Ovis aries: one gene and its partner. The protein of the gene in region 2 interacts with the protein of the main gene of each other region in a pairwise test. Links are inferred from orthologs where the notes say so. Each region holds a gene or a part of one and is shown on either strand. Other genes may lie near its edges. The genes, in order: RAB5B and EEA1.

Region 1 (4,247 bases), about 34 Mb from region 2:
CTGAAATGCCGTAGGATTAGGGAGCAGGCACTTGCTTCTCATACCTACGTCCCCTCATAAGTCAAATTCATATCAGTGAGCACAGACAAGCAACTGTAAAAGAGCAATCCTTGCTCCTGGGCAAAAAGAAGGGATGAGGTATGACTTCAAGGGCAATGGGAAACTCCTCTTCTCCAAATATATTTTTGTAACTCCAGATCTATGTTTGAAATTCTATACTGATAATTTTCATTCTTTAACTCCCTCTTTAAAAAGCAAAAACTCTCAGGAGGATTAACACTTTAAATGATTATTAGTTATTTACAACCTAATGTGGAGCAATTTTAGATCATTTTTCTTGAAAGTAGGCTTTGATTAAGGGGAAGGTAGAAAAGATAAGAGATGTATAGAAGAAAGGGACAAAAAAAAAAAAAGGGACAGGATATCATCAGGATGCAGGAAATGGCAAAGCCTAGTGAGGATTTAAAACATACACATCTACACAATTTCCCTAGAACTGACTTTGCAGAAGAGAAAATAAAAGCTTTTGGAGGGACAACAATCAAGGTTTCCAAGGGCACTGTACAAAGGCTGGGCACATCACAGGGCTTCTAAAGCCAGTAAGGACAAATTCAATTAATAAGGTGGTGTAAAAAAATGTCCCAGCTGTGTTGAGGTTTAGAGGAAAACCAATTTCAAAGCCAGAAAAATTTGCAAGCTTCTCATATCACTATAGAAAGATAGACACAGAGGCCCTTTAGAAGAACCACCATCTTCTTTGGGGATAATGAAGGGAGAGTCATATAATTTGAACATGCAGAGACCATGAACCACAGGACAGAAATCTCTAATTCCTCACTTTAGCAAAGATGCCAATAATTTTCCCAAACAAAATGATTCACTTCAACTTTTCTTTCCTGCCCATAAAAGAGAAAGACATTTTGGCCATCTATTTGGGCATTTCCTTAGGATACCTAGTGCACAAGTCGGGTGTGTGTGTCTGTTTAAGAATGTGAAGGGATAACCCAGAGTACAGCTCTCTACTTGTCTGAATTTGATAAAAGCAAGACAGAATGAACTGTAAAAGGAGCACAATAAATAACAGAGTATCATCCCAGAAGGGAAAACTGGAAAGGAGAAGCCAGTGCATGGTGGGAACATGAAAACAGAATTGCCTTTGCTGGCACATTGCCCAAAGTGAAGTAAGATTAGTTTGATCTGCTGTCTCTTATCTCTGACCTTTCTGGATGAAATGAGTGGGGTATATGTGGGAGGTTTTACACTTTTTACACTTCCATAAAACCTGAATATTTTAAGATGTACATACCACTTTTCTAATTAAAAAGAAAGTAGTTATAAAATACAGTGTTATAAAATGGAAAAAGGAGGAAGTATAATAAGGGAAAATCCAATATGCTCCAATCTATGGGGGGAACTAAGGAGGTCAGTAGACTGTTAAAAATATATGGGAGGAAGGGACCTCTGGGTCTTAGAAATCCATCTTCCTTTTCTCTACTCACCTCCTTCCCCGAGTGCCTCTGTTTGACCCAGCTTTCTAATAGCTCAGAAACCCCGGCTCCTGAAGAAGTAGACAAAGAACGGGTGATGCCAACCTTCTGGAATGGAATTTCTCTCTTCCCCAAATCCCTTCCTCTGTGATATCACCTCATATTTCCAGGCTTGATTCCACATAATCATTACCTGCCTGGGAAATACCCAAGTCTAAGTACCACAAAAGTTTCACCAACTATAGTCAGAAGATCTCTGGATGGTTGGGGATACCTAAGCATTTCTAGAGCAGAAAATGAATCACTGATTCCCCACTTTCAGGTGAGAGATATGGTCCCCAATATAGACCATATTATTAAGCAGGAAAGAAAGGAACAAACATCCCCCAAACCCTACTTCTTAGCTTTTTCACAGGACATGAAACAGGAGGTAAGAAACACCGAGACTGCAGCCTAAACCAGCTTGAGGCCAAGGGAGAGAGTAGGGGCTGAGTTGGGAACTGCCAACAGTCACAGAAAAAAAACCAGTTTGTCTTCACTGTCCACCTTGAGAGTACCAGAAAACTTCAACTTGCCACATCTCCACACCAATGGGAACAAAAGCGCGAGTACTCGCAAAACCCAAGGCCCCCAGCCCACCCTTCAGCATTCCCAGAAGCTCCCATCACTGATTCGTGGCCCTGCTTCCACCAGTCCGGCTACCTGAGTCTTCTAGATCAGGAAAGCTTTCTTCGCTTGTGTCAGTTCTCCCACACTGAGTCCAAATCCCTCTCGGCTCAACTCTGGGGCACCCTAGTTATTTTTATAATAGCCACTTTGCTTGAAAAGAATGCCTCTTACCCAGTTAAGAGCCCTTCCCTCACCCTTCCAAAGAGAGCTCTCGAGAGTCCCGCCCCGGTTCCCCTCGGGGCCTGGACGTCGGGTTTGACCCCTCCTCACCTCCCGGCGAATGACTTACCTCACCCGCCGCCCAGTCCCTTTCCCCCAGCTCCTCCCTCTTCGGCGCCGCTCACTGAGGCCTGCCCCTGCCCGCACGGGAGCCCCGGGCCTCCTGCGCCGGCCCATAGCCCAGCCGCCAAAACCTCCCGGCCGCCTCCCCGACTCACCAACTTCAGGCTCCCAGCCCGCCCGGCCCCCTCCTCAGCGCCCCCATTAGGCCTGCCGGGGCCTGGTCCCCTTCTCCCCTCTCCGGTGGGCCATTCTAACCCCTCGCGGAGGCCCAGACCCTCCTCTGCCCTCAGGCCAGGCCGCTTTCCTCTCCGGGGTGCCTCCGCCCCTGCCCTTGCGGGCTCCATCAGCCCGGTACCTGGGGCTCCGTCTCCCCCGTCGGGCCCAAGCCTGTGTCGAACAGACAAACAGCTGCAGCTCAACCAAACCCTCCTGCCCCTCCTCCTCCTCCTCGCCCTGGGGCGGGGCCCCAGCCAATTGCACGACTACCCGCCTACCGTCAAGGGTGGGCTCTCTGCGTGCTAATCCGCCAATCTTCTGGAGAAAGGCGGGACTCTTTCGGCGCTGTCACCAACGAGTACGAGCGAAGGACTGGATAGGCGAGACCCCAGACCAATACAGTGAGGGAAACCTTGAAGATGGACGAGGTGAGGAGCCACTAAAGGGCGAGCTCCTCAAACTAGCGGGCGGCACCCCGTTGATAGGCGTATACTTTAACCAATAAAATCTCGATGCCCTCATGACCCCGCCTTTTAATTTATAAACATCTAATCAGGTGAGCGGTGGAGGCGGGTCAAAGTGAAACTTCAACCAGTACTGCGAAAAGTCGGGACTTGAATGGCAGGCAAGGCGGGGTTGAAAGAGGCCTTAGGAACGCCGCTACTGACCTTCGCCCCTCCCCCGGGGATTGGTGGGGGCTACCTCCAGCGCCCCGCCTTCGATGACAAATTCGCGGGCGTGAAGGGAAATACCTCTCCTAAGGACCCGGAGCTTGGGAATTTAAGCAGCCTTCACGTCGGTGCTTCCTCCTTTTAGTTGGGGCCTCAGAGCACAGGAATTTCGGGGGTGGCCCTCAGGCAGTCTGAGATGTTTTCTGGTGAGTTGAGACAGTGGCAGGTCCAAGAACTGGTAGTTTGGGGAGGCTTTAGCCCCTTTACAATAATTTTCGTACAGACGGTTGATACATTCAGAATCATTTGTAAATATGAATAAATATATTTGAAAAACTCTGTAATATGCAAAAAGAAAAGAAAAAAAGGCAAACTTATTGGGAAACGCAGCGTCAATGCGAATTCCCTTGGAGCTCACTTCCAACGTAGTGCTGCTCCTGAGCCCTAACAAACATTGCAAATCTCGAACTGGAGCCTTGTATGTATGTGTGTGTGTGTGATATAGGTGGTGGGTAGGGTGGTGAGACGCGCAGGTTTAGGGGAAAGTGAAGTAGGAAATGCATAAACTTCACTTTCCTCAGCCGTAAAATGGGGGCAATAATTCCCGCTTCGCCCACCCGTACACTGTCCACTGCATCACAGAGGTCGAAATGGAGTGAGGTGGGAAGCCGTGCTCAGACAGATTAAGAGGGGTCTTAAATCTATTATCACATACACACATCCATATTCTCTCTCACACCATTCTTTCAATAAATACACAAAAGCGGAAAGAGATGAACTGTAAAACTAGGAACTTTTTTTAAATCAGTTACAAACTAAATTACAAATAATATTAACAGCAAGAACACTCAGGGACAAAAGGTGGGAGAAGAGAGACAAAATCATAAAAAGAAAAAAAGGTTTTTTTAAAAAAACACAACAT
Region 2 (3,817 bases):
AGACAAGTTTGGTAAGGTTTACTTTGCTGTAGTGCCCAAATGTTTGCTCAAAGTAAAGCAGAAAACTCTTAAAGTTTAAAGTATTTTGAGAAAGACCATAAATAAGCCTAATAATATATATGAGATTACATTTACCCATCAACATAAAGCACCTGAACTGAAGTTGTACACACTCTGAGATACTACGTTTATACACATAATAGCTCAACAACTTTTTCTAGGAAGACTTATTTTAGAAGCCAAAAGATACAACAGGATATTAAGCAGGCTAATAACAAAGTAACGCTTTTATACTGTAAATATTTTCAATGTTCAAGATACCATTTTTTATAATATTTTTAATTACATTGATTACATTATAATACTTGTTCAATTGATTTGGAATATTTAATTGCAGAGCAAAAAAAATAAAGATTATTAGGAAATCCATTGCCCATAGATACTATTAATGTTTTGATAACTTTCCTTCTAGACTTTTCTGTATGTTAGGTTCTATTTCTTTATTTCTATTTTTCAGATAAGGATATCAGTTTACATACAGTATTACTGTAACTTCCTTTGTTTTATAACAAAGCATCATAAAACTGTGACATTATCTTCCAAACTATCATTATACATGACTGCATAAATTTCTATTGTATTCATATAGATCATTATTTAGCCGAATACCCTCGGCTGTATTCTTGGATTGCTATAAACCTTTCCAACAAATATGCAAACACCATCCTTAAAACTATGATTATTTCCCTAGGGTAAAGGACTAAAAGTGAGATTAAGAATATGAAAAAGCTTAAAGGTCTTAAATATACTGCCTACCAGCTTTCCCTATTACCATCAAAAGCTTGAACTGCAAGCAACGTGTGGAAGTGACTTGTTCTTCTATACCATCTCTAGCCTTTCCAGTGTTAAACACGTGCACCCAAACATTTTACCTTAATAAGGGTATACTACTGTCTTAATTTGCAATTAATTCTTAATGAATATGAAGATTTCCTAATATAGTTTTGATCTTTTACTTCTTTTGGTAGATTCATTTATTTCTTATGTAAAAATGTTTTAAACAAAAATATCAATCTTTCATCAGACATATTTCAGAAAATGCTCTATTATTTTGCTACTTACTTTAGAATTTTGCTCGTAATATTTTGGGCAAATAAAAATTTCAACTTTTATGTGGTTACTCTTATACATACTTTTTCCATTATACTTTCTGGCACTGACCTAGTACTTAGAAAATACATTATAGATGTGTTTAGCAATAATGTAAAGTAAAAACCTAGTTGTAGAACAACATACATAGTGATACCATCTGTATAAAACAAAAAGACCTGTATGTGTACACACACACATATTTTTTCTTCAATGTTTACAGAAGTCTGGAAGGATATATACCAAACATAAAAGCAAAATTTCCATGTAAGGAGAAAAATGGATTGCAGTTAAAGGTAAATATAGAGAAAGGTTTTATTAACTTGATATATAGTACTGTATTATTAATAAAACTTTTTGGATCAACAACCAGTATTGCTTCTCAAGTAAAAAGTAAATTTTTAAAATTCCTACCTGGTCAAAGGTAAGAAAAATCTACCAGCATTTTAACCTTGGATTCTGAAGTAGGAAGCTTTTTCCTATCAGAAGTGCTGAGAAGAGTAACTCTGGTATTCTTCCTAGCCCCACTTTTACTCCTACCCCCAGGAAAAGAGTAGTAACTCTTATAATTGAAATGGAATACATGCTGCTCTTTTCCTGCCAAGAGGCAAGTATACCTGGGTCACCGCCTGACTGTCCACTTAAAACAGCTGTGAAGTCTCTCTTTCCCAGTCATTGCCACTTAATAGGATGAAGAAACAATTCAAAAATTAGGAGTAAATATTTCATCACACCAAGGTCTCTATTATGGGAGAAAGACAGTATTAAGAAGCTCAACCACAACTGCACAAGTTGAACTTTATCAAGAACATAAATAACATACTTCTCTTTTTTTGGCTGCACCTCACAGTTTGCAGGATTATGAGTTCCCCAAGCAGGGACTGAACCCAGGCCACCATAACAAAAGCACCAAGTCTTAACCACTCACTGCCAGGGAATTCCCAAAGATTATATTTTATCTCCATCTGTCTAACTCCTGCATATTCCACTCACTGGTTCCAAACTCAAGGAGAAATTAAGGAGAATAAGCAAGTCAATCACAATATTATATCAAAGTATAATTTTCACATATTTTTCCAGTTAATTTATCTACCAAAACATTAGGTTATGACAGGAAACTGCATCAAGTTCTCCTACCTGCTGTTTATCTTGTAATGCATTTTGGGCTGTGTCCAAATGATTCTGAAGATCTGCTCTTTGAGCAGTTTTTGCTGCTTCTGCTGATAGCAATAATTCAGTTTTGGCTTTAACCTGTAACAAAATTTACAACTCATTTAATTTGTATTTAGTTCTTGGTTTCCGCTTGATGAGTGTAAAATACTTTTCTCATTAATTTTAAAGTTTAAATATTTCAGCAGAAAACAAAAATTTAGACATTAAAAAATAAGTACGTGATAATCCCCCAAACAGGAATAAATAGGGGAGAATACTCCTAATAATGTTCTGCTGCTGCTAAGTCTCATCAGTCGTGCCCGACTCTGTGTGACCCCATAGACGCACCCAACAGGCTCCTCTGTCCCTGGGATTCTCCAGGCAAGAACACTAGAGTGGGTTGCCATTTCCTTCTCCAATGCAAGAAAGTGAAAAGTGAAGTCGCTCAGTCGTGTCCAACTCTTAGCAACCCCATGCACCGCAGCCTACCACGCTCCTCCATCCATAGGATTCTCCAGGCAAGAGTACTGGAGTGGGTTGCCATTGCCTTCTCCAGTGTAAAAAACGTCCCTATAGAACACCAAAACACTTTCTCTCTTAAATTGGACATCCACATATTGAATTATCTGTAACTCATCTAATAAGTTTTAAAAAGAGGTGTATCCTCTTTTTTCCAAATTCTTATACTTGTTATTGTATTATTTCTGGTTTTAATGGAATTATTCTCCTAAAATAAAGAAAATTTAGGCTTAGAAATGTTTCTAAAACCTTCTCTACTATAGTCTAGAATAAAAAAACAATGAGAATGGAGAAAGAAATATATCTTAATTCCCACCCCGTGACTGACTCACTCCGTAAGGCTTCCATATTGGCGTCTGAAAGAAGACATATTAAAATACATAATTGTACTGTATATTTTTTGGCTGCACATGCAGCTTGAGGGATTTTAGTTTCCCAACTAGGGACTGAATATGGGCCTCAACAGTGAAAGCGCCAAGTCCTAACCACTGGATCACCAGAGAATCCCTTAAAGTTTTCAGTGTGTGTTTTTTTTTTTTTAATTAAATCAAACATTTGAAGTAAAATTTAAAAATCAAATTCAAAATCAAACATCTGTAACAGAAATCTAATGGTATAATAACAAACTACTTTAAACTTCAAAAACAGTAGTGAGGGCCTCATGGAAAAAGAGAAAACTGAAAAACGGGTAGGGAGAAAGGCAAACAGGAAAGCTCAGCAAACTGTCCACATGCAACTTTAATTCCTATTTCTATTTCTCCAGTTAATAAGTAAGGCAGGGGATGGAGAGGCAGAGAGAAAAACAATTTAAATATGATAGCTTAAAACTGGTGTTTTATTCATACAAACAAGTTGCACAATGCAATATTACCTGTATATCAAGCTGGGAAACCTTCTCCTTGCTTTCATTTAACTGACTATTTAATTCACTGATGCTGGATTCTAGGGAAAGGACACGGTCTTGTGCAGCTCTAAGATGTGCCTTCTGCTCCTGCAC

Evidence for each region.
Region 1: the proteins of EEA1 (region 2) and RAB5B interact in binary tests that used the Homo sapiens proteins (3 or more experiments, as listed by UniProt). The link is inferred for Ovis aries from reciprocal best matches to the Homo sapiens genes EEA1 and RAB5B.

Annotation. Positions count from the first base shown.
Region 1 is NC_056056.1:163,549,932-163,554,178, forward strand, and holds the start of RAB5B (ras-related protein Rab-5B), read right to left. Parts: upstream 3,029-4,247; 5' UTR 2,933-3,028; intron 2,833-2,932; exon of another isoform or gene 2,190-2,832; intron 1,685-2,189; exon of another isoform or gene 1,559-1,684; 5' UTR 1,500-1,558; intron 117-1,499; 5' UTR 1-116. UniProt on the Homo sapiens protein: The small GTPases Rab are key regulators of intracellular membrane trafficking, from the formation of transport vesicles to their fusion with membranes.
Region 2 is NC_056056.1:129,190,409-129,194,225, forward strand, and holds part of EEA1 (early endosome antigen 1), read right to left. Parts: coding exon 3,692-3,817; intron 2,401-3,691; coding exon 2,287-2,400; intron 1-2,286. UniProt on the Homo sapiens protein: Binds phospholipid vesicles containing phosphatidylinositol 3-phosphate and participates in endosomal trafficking.